Linked DNA regions of Cricetulus griseus. The main gene of each other region encodes a partner of the protein of the gene in region 2 in a complex. Links are inferred from orthologs where the notes say so. Each region holds a gene or a part of one and is shown on either strand. Other genes may lie near its edges.

The links.
Region 1: the proteins of Tomm5 (region 2) and Vdac2 are in contact, whole or in part, in a cryo-EM structure (PDB 9EII), measured with the Homo sapiens proteins. The link is inferred for Cricetulus griseus from reciprocal best matches to the Homo sapiens genes TOMM5 and VDAC2. Residues at the interface, in NP_001001790.1 of Homo sapiens: Ile25, Arg29, Leu32, Ile33, Ala36, Arg39, Val40, Phe43, Ile44, Lys47; in NP_001171752.1 of Homo sapiens: Val38, Thr60, Gly63, Asp239, Tyr258, Gln260, Thr261, Leu262, Leu268, Leu270, Val286, Leu288.

What each region holds. Positions count from the first base shown.
Region 1 is NW_023276807.1:199,144,291-199,160,042, forward strand, and holds the start of Vdac2 (voltage-dependent anion-selective channel protein 2), read right to left. Parts: upstream 7,260-15,752; 5' UTR 7,106-7,259; intron 6,922-7,105; 5' UTR 6,897-6,921; coding exon 6,863-6,896; intron 5,882-6,862; coding exon 5,813-5,881; intron 4,821-5,812; coding exon 4,771-4,820; intron 1,398-4,770; coding exon 1,245-1,397; intron 1,148-1,244; coding exon 1,095-1,147; intron 704-1,094; coding exon 476-703; intron 1-475. UniProt on the Homo sapiens protein: Non-selective voltage-gated ion channel that mediates the transport of anions and cations through the mitochondrion outer membrane and plasma membrane.
Region 2 is NC_048595.1:98,338,114-98,353,939, reverse strand, and holds Tomm5 (mitochondrial import receptor subunit TOM5 homolog), read right to left. Parts: upstream 8,645-15,826; 5' UTR 8,557-8,644; coding exon 8,436-8,556; intron 6,365-8,435; coding exon 6,330-6,364; 3' UTR 5,901-6,329; downstream 1-5,900.

The DNA.
Region 1 (15,752 bases), on a different chromosome or scaffold from region 2:
TATTTGTTATTTACCAAATACTGTTTTGTCATGGAAATATAGGTAAGCCCTTTTCTATATAACCTAATTTGAGTTGGGTAAAAAATGCCTTTCACTATCTAGTTCTGGCCAGCCTAGAACTCACTATGGAGACTAAGATGGCCTCAATCTCAGAAAGATACAGCCGCCTCTGCCTCCCAATGCTAGGATTAAAGGTAAAATGCACCACCTGACTGGACATGCTAAGATAATCCTATTAAACCAGGACCCCACACATGCCTGGTTATCAAGTCACACACAGAAAGCACTGGTCTAACCCCTCTCTCTCTTCTAAAGCACCTCAACCCCTGTTGATGTGAGCATGCTCTCGAGTGTCTACACTATATGCTACTGAGGAGCACTTAGAACTACCACATGTCAGATACCCTTTAAATTAAAAATAGATCTAAGAAATGACATCAGATACCACCCTGAAAGCCTATAGAGAAATACTTACACATTAGTATGTAGTTGGAAGTCCCCAGTCCTGTAGCCCACTGCAAAGTTACTCCTAGTCAGCTTTGACTTGGCACTGTCAAAGGTCATCTGGTACCCAGCAAGCCAGCCCTCGTAACCAAAGACAGCTGAGCCATGGATGGCAGGTCCAGCAAAATCAAAGTCAACATCACAGCCAAGGTTTATACACTCCCTCTTGTAAGCAGACTTGATTTTACCACTTTTCTTTCTGAAAAAAGGAGAGACTGGTTTGAAACTGATACCAGTGACAAAGTTTATATACCTAGCTCTACCTGGTGAGCATGAGACGGATTTAAACAAGCCACAGTATGACAATTTTAGCGTTAAAAACAACCAAAAAGTTAAAGAAAACAAACCCACATGGGGTGACAGGACTGTCCCATCATAGGAAAAGTGCTTTGTAAAACTAACAGTCGCAAAAGATAGGACACAATTAGCACTAGAAGAGGCCAATTTCTGAAGAAAGTCAATGGTGGCAAGCAGTGTTCAAAAGCAGATAGTGGCCTCCGCAGTGAACTACTGAAAGGGAGGAAGCTGCTTCTCTTCTGAGCAGACAAGACTGCTTCAGGTTCAGTGCCTGTAAAAACATAAGTGCTTACCCTGTGTTTGGTGAAAAGGTAGTATCAAACGTCAGCTTCAAACCTTGGCATATCTATTTTGGGAGAAAAAGAGCATATAAGATTTATGTTCCATTTTATTTCCTTTTTGAAATGCAAAAAGGACACAAAAGCAAGTCTATGAAACACTACCTGATCTTCAATTGCAATCTCTGTCCCCAGAGTGTTATCGGTGTTCCATTTTTCTGTGAAAGTCAGACCATACTCACACCATTTATATTTGGTCTCCAAGGTCCCACTGACTTTACCAGTGTCCGTATTAGATGAACCAGATGTTGAAAATTCCTAAGAAGACAATAAACAACTTCATGAATGTCTGCTAAGCCTGGAACAATCCACTGCCTAACTTATTTGACACTTCTAACTTCACACTGTGCTACTTCCTAAGCAAACTCAACAGTGACAAATTAGCCTGACGGACTGACTGACCTCACTAGAATGCCATCTTACATTTCTAACTAATCAATAAAGATTAAGCGCACGGGGCTGGTGAGATGGCTCACTGGGTTTAACCAAGCCTGACAACCTAACTTCCGTCTCTAAAGCCCACATGGTAGGAAGAGGAGTTGAGTCTTCCAAGCTGTCCTCTCACCTCCACATCTACACCATGACACACACAAGATGTGAAAAATTTTAAGTAAAATCTGGGCTCAACTATCCCAATATTCCTTCTTTTTTCCTTTTTAAAGAATTTTTCATTTGCATATGTATGTGAATGAATATTCAGTGCAGATGTCCTAAAGACCAGAGTCGTCTGACTTCCCTGCCGCTGAAGTTACAGGTGGCTGTGAGCCGTCATGTGGGTGGTTAGGAAGGGCCTCTACAAGAGGGGCACCCACGCTTATGCTGAACCATCTATCTCTCCAGTCCTCCCTCTACTTTTCTGAAATGAGTCTTCACTAGGTTCCATGCCCTTCCAAACAACTTACCTATCTTCTTTTTGCTGTTTGTTGTTGTCTGTCTCAATTATGTGGCCCTGGCTGTCCTTTATAGACCAGGCCGGCCTGATCTGCCTTCCTCTGCCTCCCTAGTGCTGGGATTAAAGGTGTGTGTTGCCACACCTCACCCAACTCACAGTATTTTCGTGGGACAGGAGAGATGGCTCTCAGTAGTTAAGAGGAGCTGTTCCTCTTGCAGAGGACTCAGGTTTGATTGCTAGCACCCACAAGGCAACTAACAGTCTGTAACTCCAATTCAGAGTATCCACCACCCTCTTCTGGCCTCTGTGGGTACTGCACACACATGGTACAGATACGCATGCAGGCAAAAAAACAACCATACACATAAAATAAAAATAAGTTTTTTAGCCTGGCAGTGGTGGTGCATGCCTTTAATTCCAGCACTCAGGAGGCAGAGACAGGCGGATCTCTGTGAGTTCAAGGCCAGCCTGGTCTACTGAGCAAGTTCCCGGACAGCCTCCAAAGCTACAGAGAAACCCTGTCTCAAAAAAAGAGGAAAAAAAAGTGGAGTAGGGGAGCTTCTTGGGTTTTATCATAAATAATATAAACTATGTGTCAGCAGGAAAAAAAAAAAAAAAAAAAAAAAACAGAATTAATTCGGAAGTACTATAGAAAGCTTAGCCTTGAACCGGAAAAGCAGCCAGTGAGTAAACACACTTGCTGCTCTTACAGAGGACCCAAATTTGGTTCCCAGCATCCACATGGCAAGTTATAACCATCTATAACTCCAGTTCTAGGAAAACTGACACCACAGGCACCAGGCAAACAGACATACAGGCAAACACTCATACATGTGAAATAAAAACATCTTTAATTAAAAATAAATCTTTAAGAAAAGTTTTAATCATGGATTTGTATAGAATATATCTGCCAATCCCTTGTGGTAAAAAGGGAGCACAGAGGATCTGTCTTTATGAAGCACTCACTGCATGTGAGGGACGTGTCCCAAGATAAAATGTAACCTTCCAGAAGCCTGTCAAGAGTTCTGACCTAGGGTTTCTGTATCAGTGTCTCCATACCTAGTCACTGGAAAGCCATGTCTAAAATTGATGTAAATTTTGTTTTAAGTTTATCAGAAGTTATGATACCTGCAGAGTTAAAATCAGAAACTGCCAAGCTCCAGCTACTACCACCCATCAGTCCCTGAGATCAAGGGCTAGTCTAATGAATGCCAACAAATACCCAAGAAACAAGGTCAGTATTAGTCTGTAGGTCAAACTGGAACAGATGAAACCAACAATAAAGCAATTCACTCCATCACTATGAACTTCTTCTACATTTTGGGGTAGCCTGAACATCTCTGCAATTCAAGAAAGAAAAGGGCCACTGGGTGGTGGTGGTGGTGGTGGTGGTGGTGGTGGTGGTGGTGGTAGTGGTGCACACTGTTAATCCCAGCACTAGGGAGGCAGGAGGAAAAAAAGGATGTTTTGCTTATAAATCTATAAATCTAGTGCTCAATACAGTTCTCCAATTGTTCTCAGCTTAAAGTTTGTCTTTGTAACTAGAAGGGGGTGTTTTGTTTGTTTTCCGCACTGGACCTCATACACAACTGGGTAAGCCTTTTACCACTAAGTTATACTCCCAGTCTAAAAGTAAGCTTTTTAAAAACAAGGATGGGGTACTTATTTTAATGTAACACACCTGCACAAACATATTTAAAACCTGGTAGGATGAAAATAGAGATTAGTAGTAGAACTACAAGGCTCTAGTTTCAATCTCCAGCAATCAGCTAACTAATATTCTGTAAACTCTTAACCCAGCCAAGTCAACCATCACCAAATATTTAGCTTCTTTGCAAACCAAGGAAACCACAGGACAGAACAATATAAAACCCCATAAATGCAACAGGTCTGACCATTAAGAATCCCTACCAGGAACAACTTTAATACTAGTTATATTCAGAACATGCATTTATCACAGTGCCCAATAATCATAGTTTAGCATGTACACAATACAACCATCTCTGAATCTCAAAACAAAAATTATTAGAGAAAGAAAAAAAAGCATACAATATTTTACTTTATCCCTTGTTTCAACAACTGGGGAGGATAAACGCATAAGCAATATTCAGGTCAGGACAGAGGTATGTAGACATCTCCATGGATGACTGTTAGAATATAGCCATTATATTAAATGACCAGTATGGTCAAATAAACAAGTTACTATTAAGCCCAGAATACCTTGGCAGGTATTAGGAGAAAGTTACAAGGGCGTGGATTATAAGCTTCTGGCCTTCAAGCTTGTAATCTACCTGAGTAAATAGTCCCAAATAACCAATGTCTTTCCCCACTTCTTTGTACAATCATAGTAACACACACACACACACACACACACACACACACACACAAATATAACAAAACTACATGAAAAGCAGAAATATCCAAAGCTAATAAATCAGATTACATGCAAATCACTCAAAACAAATTAACTTCTGCCTCCTTAAGGCAAAACAACTATAGACATTTATAGGCTAAGAAATTAGGGGCTGGAGAGATGGCTCAGAGGTTAAGAGCATTGACTACTCTTCCAGAGGACCCTGGTTCAAACCCCCAGCAAATACATGGTGGCTCACAACCATAATGAGACCCAATGCCCTCTTCTGGCTTGTAGGCATACATGAAGACAGAACATTCTATACATTAAATAAATAAATCTTAAAATAAAATTAAAAGAGTTACAAGAACTTATTAGACACTTACCACACCGCTGCATGACTTTGTTTTCACATCCAGCTTTACCAACCCAAAGCCTTCAAAGAATAGAGAGCAAAGACATGACTATTCTGCAGATATATACCCATTATTCATGTTACATTTAAAATAATTCAAATGTCCAGAGGAACAAAAATGTACCGATGCCTAGCACCTGCAAGGCACTTAAAAGCAGTCAGCTGCCCAGCATGCTGGCAGGAAATTGGCTCCACTTCCTGACACACCCTTTCCAAGACACTTTTTAAATGTTAGAGACTAGAAAAATCGACAATGTCTTTAATCCCAGCACAGGGGAGGTAGAGACAGGTGGATCTCTGTGAATTTGAGGCCAGCCTGGTCTACAGAGCCAAGTTCCAGGACAGGGTCCAAAAAGTCCTGTCTGGGAAGGAAAAAAAAAAATCACTTCCGCAGAATAGCCTATTGTTGATGACTACACCTTAAGGACATTTATCCCAAAGGAGTGGGAGAAGGGGTATGTGCAACACAACCTTCAAGAAAACTCAAACTCACTCAAAAAGCCCACAACCCCTTAAGGTTTCAGTTCCACCAGGAGCCACAGACACAAAACTAAAAGAGTAATTCAGGGCAGCTCTACTCAACCAAGGCCTGCTCAGTCACCAAAGAGAATAAAAGTACAAGCTTCTTGCAGGATAGTGCACACCTTTAATCCCAGCACTTGGGAGGCAGATCTCAGTGAGTTCGAGGCCAGCCTGGTCTATAAATTGAGGTCCAGGACAGTCAGGACTGTTACATAGAGAAACCCTATCTGGAAAAAACAAACAAACAAAAAAAAAAAGCAAAAACAAAAAACCCAGAACCCAAAAGTACAAGCTTTTCCCTTAAAAGGTTAGAATTCATAAACTTGGGCCTGAACAAAAGCTGGGGTACAGTGGAGCAGTCTAACATAAAATGCATCTGGCAGAAACATTAAACCAGCAGGATATTCAGTCTGGAAAAGCAAGTCAATGTCCTAAAGGGATGCAAGCATACATTTTCTCTTTTAAGCTAAAATTAAAAGAAAAGTCCTTACCAAATCCTTTGTTGAAAATATCTCTGGCAGCTTTGCCAAGGTCAGCATAGCATGGAGGGATACACATTGCTAGTAAAAAGAAACATTCTATAGTTAACATGACTGGACTATGACCTACTGCTAATATTTACATTCAAGCAGACCAATGAGAACTATACCACTTTACTCTTAACAGCCATCTGTAACAACAGTTTACTTTCTAAATAGCTATGTGGTAATATAAACCTGCGACAGTTCCCCAGTTTGGTTTTATAGGGTAGGGCAAGCCTATCTAATTCCTAAACTTAAAAGTCTACAGCCTTGCTCGAAACACTAGTACAAGTGTACACACACTTGCCAGAATTCAAGTGGACTGACTGATTTAACTAAGACAAAAACCAAAATTTAATGTTAGGCATTTTCCCTAGCAAAGCACCTGGTATATCTTCCAAGAACAAAACCAACACTTAACACTCTGGGAACTGACATCTTGAGACATAGGGGAGAGAAATACAACCATCTATGTTTCAGTCAAGTGTCTACAGCAACTAAATATCAAATGGCACTTTAAACACACTAATACGACTCCCAAGTACTCCGCCAATGCAGTGAGGCTTAAGGGCAAGGAATCTGAGCTCCGGCCGCAGCTCATTCATTCTAAAGAGCACATCCACGCCCTTAGGAACACGTGTAATGACCTTGTAGTGCACTCCATCTCTACGGGCAGAGGGAGAACTACTTCCTCTTGCAAAGTGGCCCATCTAATCCTCCAGGGTGAAATTCAACAACTAGTAGTTTTTGTTTTGCTTTCGGGTTGGTAAAACGACACATCCAAAAGCAGAGGGTGGGTACCGCCAAGGACCAACGCCCCAGGCGCGAGCCCCCGATCTGCAACCCAACAGCCCAGCACCCACGTCGGTCAGCAGAGGCGGCGGTACGCTTTAGTGGCCGCACAAAGTGGAGAGAACTTTCCAAGTCCTTGCAAGCATGTGAATCGAGGCGGGACCAGCTATGGTTTTCCAAAGAAGGGCACAGCAGCCCCGCCGAAGACACTTCTAATGATCTACTTACGCCGTGGGCATATCGGTACACAACAGTCCGCCATAGCGAAGCCTCGGGGAAAAGGAGATCTGTAGAAGGGACAAGAAGTGCGATCAGGGGACGGTCAAAGGGCCCAAGGGGGATCTCGGACAGAAGGGAAAGGGGGCCGGGGCCGCTGCGGCCATCTTAGGGGAGCAGAGCCGCCCCGAGTCCGCTGTGGCTGCCGGCCCGGCCTAGGCCCCTGGGATCGGCATGAGGCCAGCGACGTAGTACCTGCGGGTGTCCTGAGGGGCGTTGCCGCCGCCGCCGCCGCTCCGCTCCCAGCCGAGGCCGCTCCGCTACCCAGAGACTGCGCTGCAGCCACCGCGGCTGGAGGGCGAAGTGAAGGAGACACCGTTGCGCCCCGCCGCAAGCCTGGCCTCCCCCAGCCAGGACCCCGCCGCGGCCGCCCGGGCTGTCCGCTGCGCCTGTCCTTGCCGCGCCGCCCGCCACCCACTCGCACCTACTCCGGAGTGGCCACGCGGGTCGAGGGCACGGTGATCCCCCGGGGTGAGCTGTCTCGGACCGTCCAGTGGGGACGGGGCGAGAAGGAGCTGGAGGGCCACGGGTCAGGCAGTGTACGGGGCAGCCCCAGAAGCGAGGGCCGGGGAACGGCGGAGGCGGTGCAACGGCACCCGCGCGGCCAGGAAGGGAGAGGCCACGCGCGTCACGACGGGCGGGGCGATGCGGCCCGCGGGGTCACGTGCACCCCTCCGCCTGCGTGCTGAGTGACCCAGCAAGGGAACGTGCGGGCAGTCACTGCCTCCACAGCGGCTTAAGAGCCCGGGAGGTGCAAGTAGAAGTGAGGTTCGCTGCGCCATCTGCAGCCTCCATCCCCTTCTTACATCGGTTCACCGCCCGCTGCGATGTCATCCTGAGGTGGGGCTGGGCTCCCAGAGGAACAAACTTGAGCCACCTTCAGTGGGCTCTACTCTGAGAGCCTCGGGCTTGTGCTCCTAAAGCCTCCTTCCCACTCATGTGGATGGCTTCACACTCGTGCAGAAGCCATGCTCCAGTAGGGAGATAAGCTTTCCCTGGTTGAGAGGCCCAGAAAGATACGGGAAGAACTGTAGGGTTCGTGTTGACCAGTCATTAGAATGCTGTTCTCAAATTCTGTGTAAGAAGAATGAGGAAGCTGCCAGCCCTGGTTCATGGGAAGCACAGGAGATTGCCTCCAGTTTGAGGCTAAGCTACAGCACGAGGCAAATAGGGGGAAAAAAAGAAGAAATGCTCAAGCTAATAGAGATAGAAACAGGGCCTTCGGAGAGGGCTCAGTGGGTAAGAACTCTTGCTGGGCAAGCAGGAGGACCTGAGTTCCAATACCCAGTCCCCACATTAAAAGCCAATAGTAGCCCCAGAAAGAGCAACAAGAGGGTCGCTGGGGTTCTTTGCCCACCTGGCCAGCAAACAGTATGCTCTAAGTTCAGTAACAGATTCTGGCTCAAGGGAGTAAGGTGAAGAGCAATAGAGACTATCCAAAATCCTCTGGTCTCAGGCATAAGAGTGAATACCTGTACACAAACATACACCACCTATAAAGAAGATTAGAAATGGACACCACTGAGGCTTCAATTCAATAAAACTCAGGTAATTTAGGCCGTGAACCTCAGTTTCCTCATCTCTAAGGTAATGTTTAACAGTGTTGGTTTTTTTTAAATACCTTATTTAACTTTATGTGCATTGGTATAAGGATACCAGATCCCCTGGAACTGGAGTTAGAGACAGGTGTGAGCTGCCATGTGGGTGCTGGGAATAGAACCTGGGTCCTCTTGAAGAGCAGCCACGGCTCTTAACCACTGAGCCATCTCTAACAGTGTTTAATAGGCATTCAGTTGGACTGACAACAAAGACTCCATACACGTACATGCTCACAACCCAATTATCTCTGAACTCTTCCTCTACTCAAGTTTTCATTCTCCTCCTAACTGGGAAAAGATGGCTAGATGGCCTTTGCCAATCCAGAACCAAGTTTACTAGCAATCTTGCCTGGTCATGGCTGAGGCTGTGTTGTAAAGAGTTAAATGTGAAGAGTCTTTGTGTCTAAGAGATCAGGCTCTAACACCTGATTCATCCCTTCATTCAAGCTCAGGCAGGCTGGTCTGCAATGGACCTGGCCAATAGGAGATATCCTGCCCTCGCTGTTTGATACCTTTGCATACCAAAAGCAGGACTTACTCATATTATGAATTAACATGTAGCCATTTTTGATCTCCAAAGACATCATTTTCTCTGACACAAGTCTGAGGCTTTACTCTGTAAATGTACAGTGTGTGGGCAGTGCTTAATGGTCACTGGAGATAGACATGTGCCTGAGCAAAAAATTGCAGGGGTGGAAAAGAAGTTGATTCCTTCCCAATATTAAAGACACAGCTGACACTCCTATATAAAAGGCAGGTTAGCAAGAAAAATATATAACTCATTTATCATGGATTTATATGATACACAATCCACCAAACTTAAGAACTCAAACACCCAAGATATATTATTGATTTTTTTTTTAGATTATTGATTTTTACGCTAAGGTTGAATGAAGCATGGATAGGCATATAAAAATATACATGAACAAGCCAGGCGGTGGTGTCGCACACCTTTAGTCCCAGCACTCGGGAGGCAGAGGCGTGCGGATCTCTGTCAGTTCGAGACTAGCCTGGTCCACAAGAGGTAGTTCCAGGACAGCCTCCAAAGCCACAGAAAAACCCTGTCTCAGGAAAAAAAAAAAAAAAAGAAAAAAGAAAGAAAGAAAAAAAGAAATATACATGATCAAATAGAGTATAATCTAACAGAATGAGTAGGTATCCCAAAATGCCTGTCCGGGTGCCCCCTCCCCTAACTATGGAGACAGAACCTTTCTAAGAAGGAAGGGCTTGGTTTTGTCAGTATATTGCTGGGAATTGAACTAATGTTTAGACCAGCCCTCTACCACCCCTTTTTTAACCCTACAAAACCAGGTCTCTCACTAAGTTGCCAAGGCAATCCTTGAGCTTGCCGTCTTCCTGCTTCAGCCTCCCAAGGAGCTGAAATTATAGGCCGTACCACCAGGCCCCACTTGCATGGAGGTCTTGAACTGGGAAAATGGCTGAATAAAGTCCTTGCTGTGTAAATGTTAGTATCAAGGCTTCGGATCTCTAGAACCACATAAAAGATGGGCAGTTCACCTATAACCCCATCACTCAGGAGGCAGACATGGGATCCCTGGGACAAGATAGCTAGTTAAACTAGATTAAATTGGCAAGCTCTGGATTTAGCAAGAGACTCTGGTTCAGTAAATTAGAGAACCATCCATGAAGAAACATGCATGTGTACACATTTGTACATGCACCCACATGCAAAAAGTATGTATATCTGCCATGTCCATTGCAGCTTTGGTCCAAGAACTCTGGCTAGGGGCAGTGAAGGAATAAAGAAAGAACACATGTACAGTGAAGCTGGGACCAGGTGGGTTTCCCTAATTGCTACCACTGCAAACCTGTAATCTCAGCGTGGTTATTAGGCACAGCATAGGGGCAGGGATTAGCCAGTCTTGGCAGGAGGTGTCTGTAGACAGTGGTCTCAAGCTATAGACATCTGGGAAGAGGAGGGTGCAGTTGCTAGTTTTCACACTGGTCAACCTTTCATAAACATTCATACCTCCCAAGGGAGGCTTTGCCACTCCTCTTCAGCTTGTTCCACATGGGTAGCAGTTTTGCCAATTGTCCCATGGTGTTATAGACTTAGAGAAAGGAAGGGATAAAGGGAAAGAAAGAGAAGGACATGGACAAAACCAGAGGGCATAAGGTTCACTGTGAATCCACTGTGAAGTCCACCGGTTGACTGAGGCAAGGACATTGGTGTGGGCTGCACTGTCACATCCCACACAACAGTAGGACTAGCACATTTTGTTGGCAAAGATGCTGGAGTCACTTGGGTGTTGTAGGATAGATAGTGGAGAGGACAACTCTGAATCAGGCTCCAAAGTCCTCTGTGACTAAAACGGAGTGATTGCAAATGAGTCATAAAGGATAATAAGACTTGGGATATGGTCCAGTGGAAAGGTATTGCCTGGTGTGTGTAAGATCTGGGGTTTAGCCCCCAGCACCGCATACAAAAAGAAAACAAGTCTATCTGATGGCATAAACCTCAATCTTTTTTTGTTGTTTGGTTTTTGGTTTTTGGTTTTTCGAGACAGGGCTTCTCTGTAGCTTTGAAGGCTGTCCTGGAACTTGCTCTGTAGACCAGGCTGGCCTCAAACCCACTGAGATCCGACTGCCTTTGCCTCCCGAGGGCTGGGATTAAAGGTGTGTGCCACCACTGACCAGCCATAGACCTCAATCTTGTATGACTGTGTGTGAGGAAAGCAACAGCCAAGCTGGGTGTGGCAGAATGAGAGACTGGGTAACCTTTCCAGGAAAGAGAAGGAAAGCATTCAGTGGAGCCACAGAAGACTCGGGGAGTTTCTTTACAGCCACCCTGGGGGTTTTAGAGAGCACAATGTGATGGGGTAGCAGGGAGCCCAGAGTAGTTCAAACTAAGAAAGAGAGTGAGTGCACAGACAGGGTAGAAAGCCAGGAAGAGCAGAAATGTACCCATGGACTGGTATTTGGGTATCTTTGGGGAAGTTAGCACCCACAGCCCCCTGTGAAGGATACCCTGGAATTAACTGGTCTCCAAGGTTAAGCCAGTACATGTGATAACCATTCCTACTGTGCATGAAGAACAGTGTGCGTGGGTTTCTCGGGGTGCCATTTATAGCCACACTGCATCATGAAAAACACTGATCTAGACATTAACATCCCAGAAGTAAATTAGGGAAAGACAGCGTTCTTCAATTTTCCAGATCACAACAGAGTTGGGCCCTCTCTAGCTTAATCTAGTTGGTGATAATTAGGGCAGTCGGTGGACTTACATCTTAACAGGGCATAACATGCAAGCTTCACATAGCTGCTTCCAACTCTGCTACTCTGGGTTGGCACGAAGCCCAATGAGAGAAGACTTTGTTATTCACATCTAGTCAGAAACCTGGAACACTGGCAACGTTATTATTGTTTAAATTTGCTATTTATTCTTGTTCTTTTGTTTTGTTTTTCCATACAGGGTTTCTCTTTGCAGCTCTGACTGTCCTGGAACTCACTCTGTAGACCAGGCTAGCCTTAAATTCACAGATCCACCTGCCTCTGCCTCCCCAGTGCTGGGATTAAAGGCCTGTGCCACCACTGCCCAGCTTAATTTGCTATTTTTAACAAATTTTACTTTGTATTTTTGATATATATGAGTGTTTTGCCTGAATGTGTACCATGTGACTATCTGGTGCCCACAGAGGCCCGAAGAGGTCATCAGAGCCCCTGGAACTGGAGTTACACCTGTGGGTGCTGGGAACTGAACCCAGTCTTCTTCCTTCAAGAACAACAAGTGTTCTTTTTTTTCCCCCCAAGACAGAGTGGGCTTACACCACCACTGCCCAGCAACACAAGTGTTCTTAACCACTGTGCCATCTTGGCCTGGTGCTAATAACCTGTGCCTTTAGTCCCAGCACTTGGGAGGCAGAGGTAGGCAGTTTGAGGCTAGCCTGGTCTACAGAGTGAGTTCCAGGACAGCTACAGAGTGAGGCCCTGCCTCCAAAAGGAAATGAAAAAAAAAAAAAAAAACTGAAAACAAAACCACTGAGCAATCTCTCTAGGGCCCCAAGCTCAAGTTTTTAGTGCATTACACCCCCAGTCCAGACAATACATTTTAACACTTTAAAATCTTCAAGTTATAAAATATCAAACTTTTAATAATATGTAAGTTTTTTTCAATTAAAATTTACCTATATTGGGGTTGGAGAGATGTCTCAGAGGTTAAGAGCACTGACTGCTCTTCCAGAGGTTCTGAGTTTGGTTCCCAGCAACCACATGGTGGCTCACAACCATCCCTTATGAGATCTGGTGCCCTCTTCTGGTGTGCAGATATACATGGAAGCAGAATGTTGCATACATAATAAATAAATAAAATCTTTTAAAAATTTTACCTATATTGATGTTTTCTTTTCTTTTCTTTTTTCCTTTTTTGGTTTTTTGAGACAGGGTTTCTCTGTAGCTCTGGGATGGGAAGCAGAGTTTGAGCTCAACTCTGGTATAGCCAAGGACAGCAGCTCTTAACCACCAGGAACACTGCTGCCCATTCCAAGTCTTCCCTACTGAGGGAGATTGATACTACAACAACAACAACAAAAAAAGAAGTCAACTGCTTTAGGCCTGCCATGGCTTTTGTCCACTGACAGATGGCTGCCTTCCTAACTTGTAAGTTTTGGATGAGGGCCTGCACCTCCACAAAAGCTAAACAGGTGATCAGGAGCTGGCTTCATGGGGTCACTGCTAGAGACTGTCTTATGACTTTCACCCCATGCCTTTCTGTATCTACTGTGTGGCTGCCCTGTGTCTCTAGAGTTGGTGTGGGAGGCAGTGGAAGGAAGATGAGAGAGAATTCTGGGCCCCGGGAAGTCACAAGGGCAATTTGGCAGGCTGCCTGGACACTCCATACAGAGCGAAACAGAGGAGGAAGCAGAGGGACAATGGGCCATTATTTCTAGCTGTGGGAGGTTGATCAGTTGGTACAGGGTGACCTGCCATCCCTCCCACTAGCCTGCATTGAGTTTTGGTTGAGAGCAGCTAGATATCAAAAGGTTCCCTTCGCGCCCTATGCCTGGAGCAAAGGGTGGAGGGCTGTAAGGACTGACAGGAGTGACTCAGAAAAGAGACTGCCCTCTTCTCCAGTCTGCACTGCACACTGCTTTGGGATGAACATACTCTGAGCGTGTGACTCTGCCTCAGAACTTCACCACCAAGCAATCCACATACCAGCTGAGTACAGGATATGGGGCCTCTAGGATATGGCCCAAACCTGAGGCCCTAAACCAGCACAGCCTTATCAAATGCAAATTCCATAAGGAATTACTAGAACTTACACACACACAAAAAGAACTAAGATGGATGGATTTGGAAATACATGAGTTAAACCAGCATTAATCCACTTCTTTAAGTAGAACTTCTTAGATCCCTGCTCCTCTGTATGATAAAATAGGTGCAATCCAACCCATTTTCTCGAGAAGGATCTAGAGCACCAGAGTGACACAGAAAGTATGCCAATTGGAAACAGCATCCCCAACATAGCTGTCCTGACATTTAACCAGTTCTGGCTCTATAGTGGTAAAGATGGGCTATTTACATCTACTGTGGTGAGGTGCAGGACCAGTGCTCTAGCTACTGCCCAGGAGGACCCACTGAAAGCCACACAGCTGCTCCCAGCTGAGGACCAAGTAGGACCAGTAGGTGGAACTCTTATAATGGTCCATAATGTTCCATCTTTGCAAAGAACAAGACTTGTCAAACAAGGCACCTTGGCCTAAAGATGCTTTCTCCTAGTTGGCTCCTCTTAGGACTGATCTTCTTGGACCACAATCTGAAGCCTCTCCCCTTTCTCCTTGGTCCTCAAACACATTCCTTCAAAATATCACTTTTTAAAATTTTATCTTATTATTACTTGGGGAAGGCATGTGTCATGAAGCATGTGTAGAGGTCAGAGGGCAACTTTGTGGAGTCAGTTCTCTCCTTCTACCTTAATGTGAGTTAAAGGGGTCAAACTCAGGGAGTTGGGTTTAAATGGCAAGCCCCTGTACCGGATGAGCCATTTCACTGGCCTTCAACACATCTCTCACACATCTTTTTTTTTTTTTAATTTTATTTATTTATTATGTATACAACATTCTGCTTCCATGTATATCTGCACACCAGAAGAGGGCAGCAGATCCCATAAGGGATGGTTGTGAGCCACCATGTGGTTGCTGGGAATTGAACTCAGGACCTCTGGAAGAGCAGTCAGTGCTCTTAACCTCTGAGCCATCTCTCCAGCCCCCTCACACATCTTCTTAACTGCATGTTGGCATCTGCTGCTCAAAGGCCCTGCGCTATCCACCTTGGATATTTATAAAGTCTCTTGGGTCTATTTATAAAGTCTCAAAAGATCCAGCCCAGCTCCTCCTGGAGACACCAGTCACTTTTTTTTTTTTTTTTTTTCGAGACAGGGTTTCTCTGTGTAGCTTTGGAGCCTATCCTGGCACTCACTCTGGAGACCAGGATGGCCTCCAACTCACAGAGATCTGCCTGCATCTGCCTCCTGAGTGCTGGGATTAAAGGAGTGCGCCACCAATGCCCGGCAACCCCAGTCACTTTTAAGGATCCTTGCTTCTGATCTGCACTCTGAGACCTCGCAGTGCAGAGGGTAAGCCACAGACCCTGGAGGAACAGTAGTGCAGGTTTAAATCCTAAGGCTTAAGAGAGCTTCTGATTAGTTGTGTGGTGAAGTGTATAGTGTATGTGACGCCTGCCTCCAAGCATTAAATGAAATGTAAAAGCACTGGGTGCACTGCAGGAACTCAAAGAACAGAACTGCCAGGGTTATTTACAGTTTCGGGTGGGTTTTTCCACTGCCCTTGTCAGACTGTAGACTCTGGAGAGTGGTAAGGGTAAGCTTCATCCTCTTTAACCTCCCTCAAGGGCCTGAGATAAAGGCTTCACTCATAGTGGGTAAACAAATGGATGGATTATTGGGAGGGGGGCTGTCTCAGAGAAGAGGGACAGAGTATCCGTGCCCAGTCTTCCAGTAGTTCAGGGAAATAGAAGCATGGTTGGCCCTTCATATAATCATCAGTTCCACATCCATGGGTTCAAACAACCATATATTGAAAATTAAACTCTTTGGTGCTCCTTGATGTAGGAGTTTTCTTCAGTCTTGGTAGTCCAAACCATGATGGCTTCCAAAGTGACCCACTGTGGGTCTTGGTAGGAGGATGATGTGTTTTCTTTTTTTTTCTTTCTTTCTTTTTTTTTCAAGACAGGGTTTCTCTGTGGCTTTGGAGGGACGCTGTGTT
Region 2 (15,826 bases):
TTTGATTTGCAGGTATATGGCTTCTGATGCCTGTTTACTATTCATAGGATGTGATCAGATTTGCTATGTAGGTCACAGAAAAGGTACATTTGCAATAGAGTTCCTTATCAACAAAGAAACATGAGTGTTTAAAATATACAACGACTGGGGCTGTAGCTCAGTTTGTAAAGTGCTTGCTTAGGATTTGTGAAGTCCTGGGTTCTAACCCTTGCACTGCAAAATCAAGGTATAGTAGCATATGCCAGTAATCCTAGCCCTTAAGAGGTACAAGAAACAGGGGCATCTGAAGTTCAAGAGCATTGTCCTTGGTTATAGAGAGGGTTTGAGACCAACCTAGGATACATAAGACCAGTCTCAAAAAAAACAACTAAATGCATATAAAATAAAATCTGCTGTTATTTTCATGTGGAAGTTGGAAGGAGCCTATAAAAGTGATAATTTTGTGTTTCTATTCTTATCTACCACAGTTCCAAAACCTTGCTTCACCATCTTTATCATCCGCACCAGGTCTTTCTTTGGAACACCAGCCCCGAAATAATGACATGGAGACTTTTTTTTTCTCAAGACAGAGTTTCTCAGAGGCTTTGGAGGCTGTCCTGGAACTAGCTCTTGTAGACCACGCTGGTCTTGAACTCAAGAGATCCACCTGCCTCTGCCTCCCCAGTGCTGGGATCAAAGGTGTATACCACCACCGCCTGGCCAAGACTTCTTATTAATTATAAAAGCTTGGCCTTAGCTTAGGTTTATTCCCAACTAGCTCTTATAACTTAAATTAACCTATTTATATTCATCTTCATTCTGGCACATGGCTTATTACCTCTCAATACCATATATCTGACATACCACCAAGAGAGTAAACAGCTCATCTTGTAAAAATGCTTTAGATTTGGGGCTGGATGGATAGCTCAGTAGTTCAGAGTGTATACTTTTCTTCCAGGGGACCTGAGTTTAGTTACCAGCACCCACATTAGGTAGTTCACAGCTGTCTAAAACTACAGCTGCGGAGGGATCCATCACCTGTGGCCTTCAGGGGCACTGCACTTATGTGCACATGCCCATACAAACACATAATTAAAATAAAATGCTTTTAACATTAATTACATTTATTCGTAGCTTTGTGTATTTGTATGTATGTTTGTGTACATGTGTGGTGGTCAGAGGACAACTGTGGGAGTCAGTTCTCTCCTCCCATCATACAGTTCCAGGGATTGAACTCAGGCTGTCAGACTGGGCAACAAGTGTCTTCATCCATTAATCATTTCCCCCAACTCCTAGATAGCCTCTCTTTAGTGTCACAGCTCTGTGATTTAGTGACATGCTTTTTACTTTATAGTCGGGTGCCAGCTATCTGTTTCTGTGAAGTGTGACTGGGACACAGCCATGCGCCCTCATCTGAACAGTCTGACTGCTTTCATGTCACAATTGCTGGCTTGGCACAGGAGAGCCGTGTAGACCCGAAGGTCTGAAATACCAAAGCTAGCCAGTCCTGATGTGTGATTTCTGTGATGGCTTGAGCTGTATGCAGAATTTATGAAGCAATCATGACAGGGCAAAAAAAGTCAAATGTCAGCTGGTCCCCCCCCCCCTTGGAATCAAGCAAACAAATAGTTCAGATTTCTGCACCTGTCTTTCACTCTAAATGTTGGCTCATGTTTGCCAACCTAAGAACTACTGAATATACCAGTTGCAAAGCTATTGCTGTTCCAACAGTAACTGCAAAGGGCGAAGAAAGTGTTTTCTTAATGTTGTACTGTTAGCAATTAAAAGCATTAATTTAGCTGCAGAAGCCCTGTCCCCTTATTAATTAGAAGGAATTAACATTTCTGTTCCCCATTTCCCTCAATGTTCTCAATTTCAAGTTTACAAAAAAGCAAATCTGCTAAGACTGTTTACATACTCCAATTATGTGCAGTCTAAATATTTTCTTTAAAAAAATTACTTATTGCTGGTGGTGTGCACCTTTAACCCCAGCACTGGGTAGGCAGAGGCAGGCGGATCTCTATGAGTTCGAAGCCAGACTGGTCTACAAAGCGAGTTCCAGGACAGGCTCCAAAGCAACAGAGAAACTCTGTCTCGAAAAACCAAAAAAAAAAAAAAAAAAAAAAAAAAAAAATTACTCATTTTATGCTTACGAGTGTTTTGTCTGTATGTCTGTCTGTGCATCACATGTATGCCTTGTGCCCAGAGATGTCATTAGAATGTGACTCCCAGAACAACAGTTACAGAAGGTTGGGACCCACCATGTGGGGCTGAGAATTGAGCCTGGGTCTCCTGTAAGAGCAGTCAATGCTTTTAACCACTGAGCTATCGATCCAGCCCCTAAATATTTTCTAATAAATTAAAATTATTTCAGAACTGTCTGTTCCAAGCACTGAACACTACCAGTATAGCCAGAATTAAAAAAAAACTACTAACAGGCTGGGCACAGAATTGTAACCCCAGCACTTGGAAGACAGAGGTAGCAGAACTCAAAGTCAAGGTACTTCAGGACCATGTAGCAGCAAGGTTGTTTCTTAATAAGCCACTTACTAAAAAACTGAACCATCACATTTTGTTTTCTTTTTCAAGACAGGGTTTCCTTGGCTATCCTGGAACCTGCTCTGTAGACAAGACTGGCCTTGAAGTCTTAGAGATCCACCTACCTCTGCCTCCCAAGTGCTGGGATTAAAGGTGTGTGCCACCACCGCCTGGCCACATCACATTTTCTTATTTCAGCCTGAATATACCCTAGAATCCCCAGTGGCAACCACACTTTATCTTTAGGAAAAGCACACAAACATTAAAAGTCCCCTAAGACTTGGCAAGCTGTTTAAATACCACACTGAAACTTGATCCTAAACTCCTCCATTTGTTAAAAGATACTGACTGGTCAAGGTTATTTTTTGGTAGTAAATGTTTGGTAATGTATTTAAATGATTTTTGTTGTTTGTTTTCAAGTAGCCTAGTTGGCCTCAAACTAAAATCCTTCTAGCTGGGATTATAGGTGGATGCCACCACACTAGCCTACTTAGTGTCTGATAATTCCAAAGTCTGACTACATCAGGATCAGCATGCTACCTCATCATATCCGAAAAAGCAAATGAAATTAGACTAACCATCAATAATTATTGTTACCAAGTGCCAAGTAATAGTGCCAATTATTCCCCCTGACCAGCATTCTACTACCCTAATTCCACAATTGAAAATGAATTCAGAGGTTCAGCTATGGAAAGATGTGCATCTCAAGCCCTGGGGCCAGGACCCAAAGTCAAATCTACTTCTCTTTGGGGCAGTGTTCACAAGCATGGTGTCAAAAACTGCAGGCTTGCAACTAAGGAGTGGATGGAAGTTACTACATACAATACCGACATATATGCTGTCTGGGTAAAGATGGTGGGCTGACCACATGCATAACGTAATATGTCCATTCTTGCCTGAAATTTCATTCCATAACAGTAAGTTTTTATCCAGTTTACGGTTAGAATCTCAAAGGATAGAGGATGAGACAACAATTGTAAACTGGAAAGCAAAAAAAAAAAAAGTTCCATAGTACAGTCTCGGGGAAATGGTAGTTACCAAAACTAAGAACTAGCCAGGGAAGGTTCTCAGATGTGGTCTACACTCTACAGGGCTTAGCAACCCTCTGCCCTGGGCCTCACTGAAGCCCTCCCACATCACTGGACTTCCAGAATCCTAGCAAGGCCTTCATTCTTCACATACAAGTCGGAAGAATGTTCTCTTAGGAATGAACAGCTTAATATAAAATACCTAAAGGTATCAACACAGACTTTCTTGCCTATTAAATACCCAAAAGATCTCCCTTAGGAAGAGCCTAAGGCCATCAAGCCCCACCCACTTAGTCTCTAGCAAAGGCGAAGTGTCTAACATGAAAAACAGACAAAAGCCACTTTAGACAACAGACTATGAAGAACAAAGAAAAGTTACAAAGGTTAGCCAGGCGGTGGTGGCACACGCCTTTAATCCCAGCACTCAGGAGGCAGAGGCAGGGGGATCTCTGTGAGTTCCAGACCAGCCTGGTCTACAAGTTTCAGGACAACCTCCAAAGCCACAGAGAAACCCTGTCTTGGAAACAAACAAACAAACAAAAAACCCCACAAAGGTTGTATGTTATTCTACAAAGAGAAGATGTAAAATAAAGGGAAAGAAACCACCACCACCAAAAAAAAAAAAAAAAAACAAACAAAAAAAAAAAAAAACCCACAAAATTTCTGGGGTTAGGACAGTGCAAAGATCTAATCCTAGCACTGGGGAGGCAGGGGCAGGCAGATCTGAGTTTGAGACCAGCCTTGTCTACATAGTGAGTTCCAGGACAGCCAGGGCTACAGAGAAACCCTGTCTCAATAAAACAAAACAAAACAAAAAACAAACAAACCACAAAACTTATGGGAACTAATGGATGGTATGTTTCAAGTTTTAACACAGTGAATTAAATACACATACTAGAGTGTGTCACTATGGAATAGACTAGTAGGACAACAGATCCTTGTTTTCTCAGAGAGAAAAATTAGGCCTCAAAGAAAGACCAGGAGTCAGAATGGTTTCAGATTTCTTAGCAGACTCAAACCCACAGCCAGAACTCTACATTCAGCAAAGAATCAAAAGTGAGACTAGAAAAAAGCAACTATCAGGTCAGAAAGGCCTAAAAATGTTTACCTTCTATGTCACCAGTCAGAGCTCCACGAAAGCAAACATTAGCAAACAAGAGACCCAATACGGGATAAGAAAAGGTTGTCCCCAAGTTACAGCCATACACAGAGAAGCAAAGTCTCTAGGAAGACTCCCTAGGGAAGAGGAGAGGATGTGATACTTGATCAAACCAATATGATGTCAACTGTTTTTGGTACATGGTGAATGAAAGGTTCCTTTGGTGGAAAGCTCACAGGAAAACTAGGGGTTAAAAGAAAAAAAAAATGTGTAGGAAAAGAAAACCATCAGTCTAACCAAAATCACACTAGGTTGCACACAGGGAGATGTGGTGACAAACATGTATGATGGGTATGAAGAATGAAAAGAAACCCAAGTCCTGGCAATACACCCAGCAGCAAGTGGACAATAACTAAAACAGAAATTATGGCAGCAGCAGCAGCATCTTGTTACCAGGAGACACACTGGTGGAGCTGAAGAGATGGCTCACAGGTTAAGAGCACCGACTGCTCTTCCAGAGGTCCTGAGTTCAATTCCCAGCAACCACATGGTGGCTCACAACCATCTGTTATGAGATCTGGTGCCCTCTTCTGGTGTGCAGATATACATGGAAGCACAATGTTGTATACACAATAAATAAATAAAATCTTTAAAAAAAAAAAAAAAAAAAAAGTGTTCCTGATCTTGCAGAAGGCCCAGCTCCAGCACGGCAGTTCATAACCACCTGTAACTCAAGTTCTAGGGAACCCAATGTCCTCTTCTGGTCTCCATGGGCACCAGGAACACACATGGTACACATACATACATGCAGGCAGACACATATACACAAAATAAAAACAATCTTAAAAAAACACATGTTAAAAAGGCGGGCATGGGCTGAAGAGATGGCTCAAAGGTTAAGAGCACCGACTGCTCTTCCAGAGGTCCTGAGTTCAATTCCCAGCAACCACATGGTGGCTCACAACCATCTGTTATGAGATCTGGTGCCCTCTTCTGATGTACAGATATCCATGGAAGCAGAATGTTGCATACATAATAAATAAATAAATAAATAAATAAAACCTTTTTAAAAAAATACATTTTTCCCACTGTTCATGGAGCTTGTATTTTTAGCATCACGCAGTAAACTGCAGTCCATTAAGACTTTGGCAAAGAAGCATACTGCCACATAGAGTTCAAAAGAAGCAGAAGCAATAGTGGCAGGGTTGCAGGCATCACCAGCAAAAAGCGGGACAAAATAAAAAACGAAAACCCAAGCTTTTTTCATCAGAATGTTTATTAAAAATATAGACTGGTGGTTCTGTGCTTAAATGTCATTGTGGGTGTATGCTGACTTCCATCAAACAGACTCTTCGAAAATACAGAAGTTGTAAACAGAAATGACTGCCAAGACAGTACCATTTCAGAAATAAGCCCCTTAGAGTTTGACATTTCCATCAACACTCACAGAGGTGGCTCTCACAGGCCCAAGGGCACACCAGACCACAAGACATCTTTCTGCACTTCCCAAACAGTTTTATATTTCAGCTATGAAGGTCAGTTCCCAAGGCCCAACTTGTTCTTAACAAGTAGAGTTTTTATGTCCATTTAATCAGTCTTACACCTTTCTGGGCCAATTCATCTGCAGACAGGAGGAGAAACTGTCACCAGGTTCTTCATGCCATGCATCCATGTGATCCCAATCTTCATATGCTGTCCAACTTCTTTAAGATATATGGCGCTGAAAGAAAAACCCCAAATTAGGTTTTATTCTGAGTCCGCAGGCTATACTGCAGAATTATAAAACTGTGTGTAAAAGAAAAAACCTTTATGAAATATGGTTTTAGCAACAACTCCCAAATAGTGATTGAGCCTCTACCAGTACCACAAACCAAAAATATTCACTGCCTGGCAAAGCAGCCCATTCCAGTGCCACTCAATTCACCACCATAAAGTACACCATACTGCATCTTTCTTCCATGGCTATAAGTAACCCCAACAGTTTACTGTGGGGACCTTTGACTTGCTTTGCAGTGCAGGGAGCTGAACCCAGGACCTTCCACAGGCCAGACAAGCACTTTACCAAGGTATACCTCTAGCTCCGGGGAGTTATTTTAACCTAAACAGAACAACAGTCTACAGGAAACAAATGGATATTGGGTTCAATTCTCAATACTGGGCAAACAAACAACTGGAAGAAAGCACAGGGTTTTCTCAGATTCTACCTGTCACTTATGCCCTTCAGAACATACTAGTTACTGTGCTGGTTTGATAAATGATACACAAAGAGCTGTCTGGAATACTAAGTGACATTACTAGAACGGAGAGACAGCCCAGCAGCTAAGCCTGTCATCAATCAGGAGGACCTGGATTCAGGTCCCAGCATCCACATTTGGAAGCTACAATTTGCCTGTTTAACTCTAGTTCCAGGAGTTCCGACATCCCCTTCTGAATTATGCAGATGGATGCAGGCATGTAGCTCACTTACAAGACGAGCGGACAAAAATCTTTGAAGAGTGATAAATTGGTGCACATCAGATACAAAGATCACTAAGCTAATATTCTCTTGGCAGCTCTTCTGTAAGAAAAGGTTAAGAGGATGGAAAAGGTGAAGTAGTGTCAAGAGGCTGCCAGATGAACATATGCCAGTGTTCTGATCTCCAAGAGGCCCTCTCCTGGAGAGGCCAGCAACACAGAGAGAACACAGCACTGAATGAATGAGACCTCCACCTCAGTGAAATCCAGGAGAGGTTAACTCTAAAAATGTTGGTATGTTTCTCAATTACTTGAACCACTCCTGCCTCTACCTGCACAGCAGACAACTATATGCAAACAAGCACAGAACAATGAGAAGGATGTTGTATTGAGAGCGTGAGGGTCAGTCAATTCTGTTCTATCATTAGAGAACTAATTGTTTAAAAAAATATTTGAGGCAGTCGTGGCACACGCTTTTAATCGCAGCACTCAGGAGGCAGAGGCAGACCGATCTCTGTGAGTTCAAGGCCAGCCTGGCCTACAGGGAGGAACCCTGTCTGAACCGCCCCCCCCCCAAATATACTTTGCTATTTATTTTGTATGTATTCTGTGGTGTGTACACGAATTCGTGCATACTTTGGTGCAGATGGTGGAGGTCAGAGTACAATCACTTGGTTCTCTTCTGCCACCAAATGTGGATCCAACTTGGCGGCACATGCCTTAACCCAGTTAACCATCTATTTTCTAATTTGTTAGTCTGTCTTTAACCCTGGTGTGCCCCCTTGAACTCAAGCTGTCACTTGCAAAAGGAACAAAGATCAAGTAAGGAAATTAACTTTTTGTCTACAGACGCCTCTTTTCATCTTTCAGAAAAAGGAAAACCAACTATTTTACTTCAGCCTCTGTACAAATAAACACAAAGAAAGTAAATCTCTTCGGATTTCAAAGGCAAGCACTGAAGGAAAGTGCCTGGTGCCGAGTTAAGAGCTCGGAATTCTAGGTCAGGCTTATTCTGAATCTCCAAATGACCTTGGGTCAGCCACTTCCCAGGGGCCGTTTCTAGGTTGGTCAAACGAGGGTATTGTTCACGGGATAACACCTGAAGGTCCTAATCACAAGCGTCGAGTGAGCAAAGGTGACTTAACCACGCGCCCCCAGCCACCACGTGCACTTGGCACGTTCTTAGGACCCGCAGACCCCCTAGAGGGCACGCAGTTGGGCCGCCCTGGGCAAGCATGCCCCGGTTCTCCCTAGAATGCTCAACTCCAGGCCCCACGACCGCGTGCAGGGGTGGGGTGGACCCGTGGCCTCATGGCCACAGCGCGAAGGACACTCACTGACTCGCAGCAGGGCCACGTAGATGAGGAAGTTCCGAATGGAGGAGATCACATCCTCGCGCATCTTCCGTTTCATCTCCTCGGGATCCAGCTTCGGCGCGAGACCCTCGATCCGGAACATTGCGGCTCTCTCTCCAAAGCCTGCAGGCGCTGCACCCTGCTCTCCTCCAGTGGCCGCCTTCCACCCGAACTCAGGCAGACTCTACTTCCTGTCCCACCCTCGTTTCCGTCGAGTGACGGGAACCTGCAAGGGTCAAACCTCATCCAGCCCTCGTGCATAGGAAGCAGAGAGACCTGAAGGGGGCGGCCTAAGTCTCAAATCGCAAACCTTAGTGGATCCCGATTGTTTCTTAGATAGTCGACCGCGGGGCTGGAACCCAGAGTGCTACCTGTAAAGTTGTTTTATGCTGTCCAATAGAGAGGTGTGTGCATATGTACCACCATAAGTAATAATAGCTAGCTAGCATTTATAGAGTACCCGACAAAGTACTGCGCGAATTGCACATCATAACCTTCATTTCCTAGATTTGAAAATCAAAACGCACCAGCCTGAAAAAAACTTAGTTGCGAATATAGCTCATTTGCCAAAGCGTTTACTTTAGCATGCATGAAGCCCTGTGTTCGAGCCCTAACACCGTATAAGCCTGGTGTGATGGCTGTTTGTTTTCTGTAGTAATAAACACCATCAAAGCAACTTGGGGAGGAAAGGGTTTATTTCACCTAACCTGTTACAGTAAATCATCCAGGGAAGCCAAAGCAGGAATTCAAGCCGGAACCTAGAAGCTGAGACCAAGGAGGGGCGCTCCTCTTGGAGCAGCTTCCTTTCTTAAACAACTCAGGACCACGTGCGGGGTGGCATCGCCCACAGTGGGCTAAGCCCTCCTCCGTCAATTAGTAGCCATGACGATGCCCCTCAAATCTACCAACAAGCCCATCTATCTGGTGGAAGCCATTCCTTAATTGAGGTTTTCTCTTCCCAGGTGACTCTAGTTTGTGTCAGGGTGACCAAACCTAACCAGCACACGGCTGGCAGAATGAGGATCAAGAGTTCAAGGTCAAAGTGGGAAGGTGGCTCACACCTGCACCCTTTAATCTCAGCCCACAGGAGGCAGAGTCACTGCAAATTTGCAGCCAGCTTGAGCTACAAAGTCATTACAAGGACAATCTGTGCTAGATAGGCTGTCTCAAAAAACAAACAACTCCAATATAAACAAACAACAACCCCCACAAACAAACAGTTCAAGGTCACCATCCTCAGCTAGTGCATTTCATACCTACTGATGTCTAGAACTCCAGAGACTGAGGTTTTAACGTTTCCCAAATCGTTTCTGTATCCTCCTTTTTGGAGTTAGCTGACCCTTACATATTCTGATGCAGACCTTGGAATACCACAAGTGTGAGCCCAATTCGATCTGATTAACATTGTACAGATGAGAGGAAACCAAGTGCACCGTTGAGTTCTCAGACATGAAATCAGACAGCTTAATTTTTCACATAATTCAGTGCCACATTGGCTTTTCTTGAGGGCGCACTGCATAGCAACAATGAATTTGGGGTTAAATAAGAACAATCATTTACTATAAGAGCAATTGATAGTGTTAGCATAACTATCTACCTTCCTGATTGACAGCATGTAAGATCCTGGGGTTAGGGAGAAAAAAACCCTTCATCTGCTTATTCAAGCCTTAGTGAACATTTGCATCTATAATTCATACAGTGGACTAGCAGAAGCAGCTCTGGTGTGGGAGGGGCTGATTCCCAAGGAAGAGCTCCAGCCAAGCCCTCCTGAGAGAGTGCCTCAGAAGGAGGAGAGATCATGCTCCACAAGGCCTCCCATTGCCTACATAATCAGGGACAAGTCTCTGGCTGCAACCTCACTTTTTTTGTAGCAAAGGGAAGGCATATGATTCCCTAAAGTTCCCTCCAGTTCTGACAATCTGCATTTTGAATTCTGATTGCATCACTGAGTTTGAAGTGTATGAATGTTGAAATATCATCACTTGTGGTCAGATAGTGTGCTGACTAGATTTTTGTCAGGTTGACACCAGCTTGGGTCATCTGGGAAGATGGAACTTCAAATGAGAAAATGTCTCCATCAGATTGGCCTGTGGGCAAGCCTATGGGGACATTTTCTTGATTAATGATTGATGTGGGAGGGCCCAGCCCACTATGAGCAGTACAATTGATCTTAGGTTGTATTAAAAAGCCAGCTGAACGAGCCAGCAAGCAGCATTCTTCCATGCCATCTGTTTCAGTCCCTGCCTCCAGGTTCCTGCCTTGAATTCCCACCCTGGCTTCCCTTTGTGATGGAGTACAGCTGTAAGCTGAAATAAGGTATTTCTTTCCCAAGTTACTTTTGGTTATGGGATTTACCACATCAATAAAACCAAACTAAAACAGATAATAAAATTGCCAGTTTGTATATTCTCCTAAGTAGGAAAGAATGTTACAACAAGCAGATCTTGCCACACGTGGTGGCTCACACCTTTAATCTCAGCATGTAGAAGGCAGAGACAGGTGGATCTCTGAGTTCGAGACCAGCCTGGTCTACAGAGCCAGTTCCAGGACAGCCAGAGCTACACAGAGAAACTCTTGTCTCTAAAAACAAAAAACCAAACCAAACAAACAAAAATCAATAAGCTTATCCCATCTATCTGAAAAGTGGGGCAAAACATATTTGGAAGGAAATAATTACATAGTTCTAGTAGCTTAGACTGCACTTAGATGTGGAAATACTTTGTTTTTCTTATACTGAGATCTTTTGAGTAGTTTGGGGTCACAGAACAGATTAAATTAGCCAAAAACTATCCTTATTGAAAAAAATTGTAGATTTTTAGACACTTGAATTGTTAAATTAAAGAGGCACCTGTTTATGTCCATGTAGCAAATGTCTGGCCTGCTAAAAGGCAATGTAATTCTTTTCTTCCTTTCTTCCTTCCTTCCTTCCTTCCTTCCTTCCTTCCTTCCTTCCTTTCTTTCTTTCTTTCTTCCTTCCTTCCTTCCTTCTTTCCTTCTTTCCTTCCTTCCTTCCTTCCTTTCTTTCTTTCTCTTTTTTTTCAAGACAGGGTTTCTCTGTGTTAACAACCCTTGTTGTCTTTGAACTCACTCTGTAGACCAGGCTGGCCTTGAACTTATAGAGATCCACCTGCCTTAGATTTATTTACTTTTATTTTATGAGTGTTTTGCCTGCATGGATGTCTGTGCATCCTGTGTGTGCCTGGTGCCCAAGGAGGTCAGAAGAAGGTGTTGAACCTTTAGGAACTGCAGTTACAGATGGTTGTGGGCCTCCTTGTGTGTGCTAGGAGTTGAACTTGGGTCCTCTGCAAAAGCAGCAAATGCTGTTGACGTATGAGGCACCTCTTCAGCCCCAGGGCAGTGTAATTCATATGAAGATTCCTTAGGAAGGTCTGGTGCCTGGAGTGACCGAGCGGTATTAATGGGCTTGTGCAGCCCAGTTTACTAGTCTGGATCAGGTCTAAGGGGATTGTTTCTGTGTCAAGGATGCCCATCCTGGTGAACTTGGACTTTCCTCTTTGCATGGCCTCTCTAATTGTCTTGGAGAACACCCGTAAAAATAAGCTCCCCCTTTTAGGCTTTTAAATAGTGCTTATTTATGTATATCTGTATCTAAATCTATATCTATTAAGCATATAGGTGATGACGTCATCCAATCACAGTGGGTTTAGGTGAGGCAAAATAAAAATATGATGCCTCCAGAGGTCAGTATTAGATGGCGTCATTTCACATCTTCGATTCTTCATTATTTTTCCCTCATCTGGATGCCGAATGCTTTGAGTCACATCTTTGAAGTCTCTTCTAACTCTAAAATGCTGTATTTCCAAGCTCACCATGTTTCCTGTTCTTTCTATATAATGAGCCAAACGCTAAGAGCAAAGGATTTACTGTGATGTGCACTGAAGCGCAAAAATAAAGAAGTATGCATACATAATTTAATATTGATATTTGTGTTCTTTAGTTTGATCACAGAGGAAATAGCAGCTGATGTCATAGCCTGTCTTGTTTTCCATTTAGATCCCAGGAGGGATTTAGGAACCATTTCCTTTGACTCAATTTCCCAGACAGCTCTCATGTAAATGTTTGGAGTGTACAACCAAACTGTAAGAGAATTAAGTGTTTTATATTTCCATCACTGGGGAGGAATTTATATGTGCATGGCCAGAGAGTCACTGATGATTCTTGATTGAGGAATTAACACAATATAAAATCTCAGTGAGCCCGTGCTTTGTGATCTATAGAAAACTATAGACTTAGGGTACTAAACAGTTCAACTTCTCTATTTAACACACAGGGAAACTGTGTCCCAAAGAGGGGCTAGTTAAGGAAAGAGAGACCTAGGTGGGTCTCTGACCTCTAGTTTTGCATTTCCTCCCATCAGATCCTGCTAGAATGAGTACTTTCATTGACAGTTCTCCCCCAAGAGATAAGGACATCTTTGGAGAGCAAGGTTTACCCCACAGCAGGCTGAGGGTAGCACTTTCCACATTCCCACACCCATGATGGCAGCTGATCTGGACTGAGTTATTCTGGACTACATTTCTGTCCTTCCTCATTCCTCAGGGGAGGAGTGCATCCTAGCACTCCCTGGACATTTCCCGGGTGTGGTGGGGACATTCCTTTACTCCTAGTATTAGAAGCTGGAAGGAGGAAGATTAAGAGTTCAAGTTCATCCTCTACTACACAACAAATTTAAGGCTATCCTGGGCTACATGAGACCCCCCCATACCAAAGAAAATCAAAATAATAAAAGTAATCTTGACTTTGAAGTCCACTCAGGATTCAAAACGAATGCCACAGATTTCAGGACAAGGAAGAGAGATCTGGACTTTCAAAGAGTGCTGTGTGTGGTCAGCAAGATGGCTCAGCAGGTAAAGGTGTTTGCTGCCAAGCCTGATGACCCGGGTCCCACATGATGAAAAGACCTCTATACTAGTGCCTTCAACAATAAACAAACAAACAAATGTAATAAAGGATGTTTAAGGAGATTTCTCTGCTCAGGTGTGATGGTGCGCCTCAGGAGGCAGGGGCAGACAGATCTGACAGCAGTGTCTACAGAGTGGGTTCTAGGCCAGCTGGGGCTGTGTAATGAGACCCTGTATCAAACAACAGCAACCAGAAGATTGCTCTGTGATAGATGCTCATACCCTTACCCAATAGATAAGGCATCATATTTCCAGAAATTACTGCCTAGTGAGAGATGCACACCTCCAGGAAGGGGCCCTTTGAAACCTCAAAGAATGAAGAGAGTTTTAATAAACTTCACCTCACTGGTGTCCTCTTTAGAACATTCTGCTCTTGTTTTTGTAGTGAGGCCTTCATCATCTGAATGATTTATAAGCATATAATCCCCTTCCAAGAAGCCTGGAAGCACCTCAAGTGTAAGGAGTGTATTTGGTCATTCTCAAATCCTCTGACCATTGAGGGCATGTGTTTATTGATAAGTATTGAATCCCTGGTTATTGGGCATCCTCTGCTAATGCAATAAGCCAAATCAAACAGAATTAATAAGATGAGATTCAATAAACAGAGCAAGCAGAGCAAAGCAACTCCCAGGTGACTCTTGGGAAGGCAGGAGAGAGAGCAAATAGCAGGTCTATCGACCAGGTCTTAAATACCCTGTAGGCATGGTCTTGAGCAGCTTCAAGGGAGGAGCTGACCATTGGTGGACTTTTCTGAGGGATAGGGCCTGGAATGGGAGGAGTGTGGCCAGCTGCCCAGCTGAACATCCGGGCAGAGTTTAGAATGGGGGAGTGAGACAGCGGAGATTCTCAATGTCTGTATGTAATAAAAACTCACTATCCATTGAGTGAATGAATGAATGAATGAATGACCATGTATGCATTAGGCTGAAAGGAAATAATTCCCAAAAGAAATTTATTCCAAATTGTATTTATTATATTTCTATATAAGGACTTATTTCTTGCAGCTTTGGTAAACTTGGTTTTGTATGGCTAAGGAAAATAGGGGCCCAGTGAGATGGCCCAGTGGGTGAGTGCTTTTGATGCCAAATTTGAGGGTCCTGGGGACCAAATGCATGCCATTAGTCTTGGCAGCAAGTGTTCGTACCCACTGAGCCATATGATAGTCCATTTTTTCATTGCTTGTTTGATACAGGGTCTCACTATACAGTTCTAGCTGGCCTGGAACTTACTAAGTAGACCAGACTGGCTTTGAACTCACAGAGATCTGTCTAACATATTTTTTAATTAAAAAATAAGCCCTATTAGTGCATATTCATCATACAAAGAAATGGGTTTCATAATGACACTTTCATTTAAATATATTATTTACTATTACAGTACTTTCCCCCATTGCTCTCTCCTGTGCCCACAGTCAAACTAGCTCCCTTTGCCCAAATAAAATAGTCCATTTTCTACTTTCATGTCATATGTATGTATCTTTAGAGAGAAGTTTCACATTTGTCTTTCTGAGTCTGTCTTATCTTACTCAACCAGGTGGTCTTTGTTTCCATTCATTCTCTTAAGAGACACCTTCTTCTTTATCGTGAACAACAGTGTGTGTGTGTGTGTGTGTGTGTGTGTGTGTGTGTGTGTGTGTGTGTATTCCACATTTCCTTTATCTAGATATCTGTTGATGGAAAAGCTAGTCACCTGCAGGAGTCAAGAATGACTCCTAGGGCTGGGGAGAGGCCTCAATGAGTACAGTACTTACCTTGAAGCATGGAGGCCTGAGTTCAGACCCCCAGCACCCATATAAAAGATGGGTGTGGTAACACAAGTCTGGAACCCCAGCACTGGGAGGCAGAGAAGAGGGAGGATTCCTGGGGCTTGTTGGCTACTCAGTCTTTCTGAAAGTCTTAAAAAATAAGGTGGAGAGGGCCAGCAGGATGGCCTAGTGACCTGGGTTCTATATCCAGGATCCACATGGTGGAAGCAAGAATTCCTACAAGCTGTTCTCTGAAAATTAAAAAACAAATGTAAGAACAAAAGAGAGCAATAAGACACTCAGTGCTGACATTTGATCTCCACAACTTCTCAGGCATGTATGTATACATAAGTACACATGTATGTATATGTACATACATACATACATATACCACACATATACACATACACATTAAAAACAGTATTATTGGGGCTGGAGAGCTGACTCAGTGGTTAAGATATGTATACATATATGTATGCATATATGTATATACACACTGCATGCTTGTGGTGCAGGCAAAATACCTATACACATAAAAATAAAATGATGAAAATTTAAACTACAGTCTTTAAATTTTATTGTCTTTATTTATCTGTAACAATATAATTATATAAAACCCATATGATGCTCTTATCACTCATTTTTAAACAAAAATACATGTTTATTTATTTAAAAATATGTTTATTCTTATTATATGTGTATGAGTG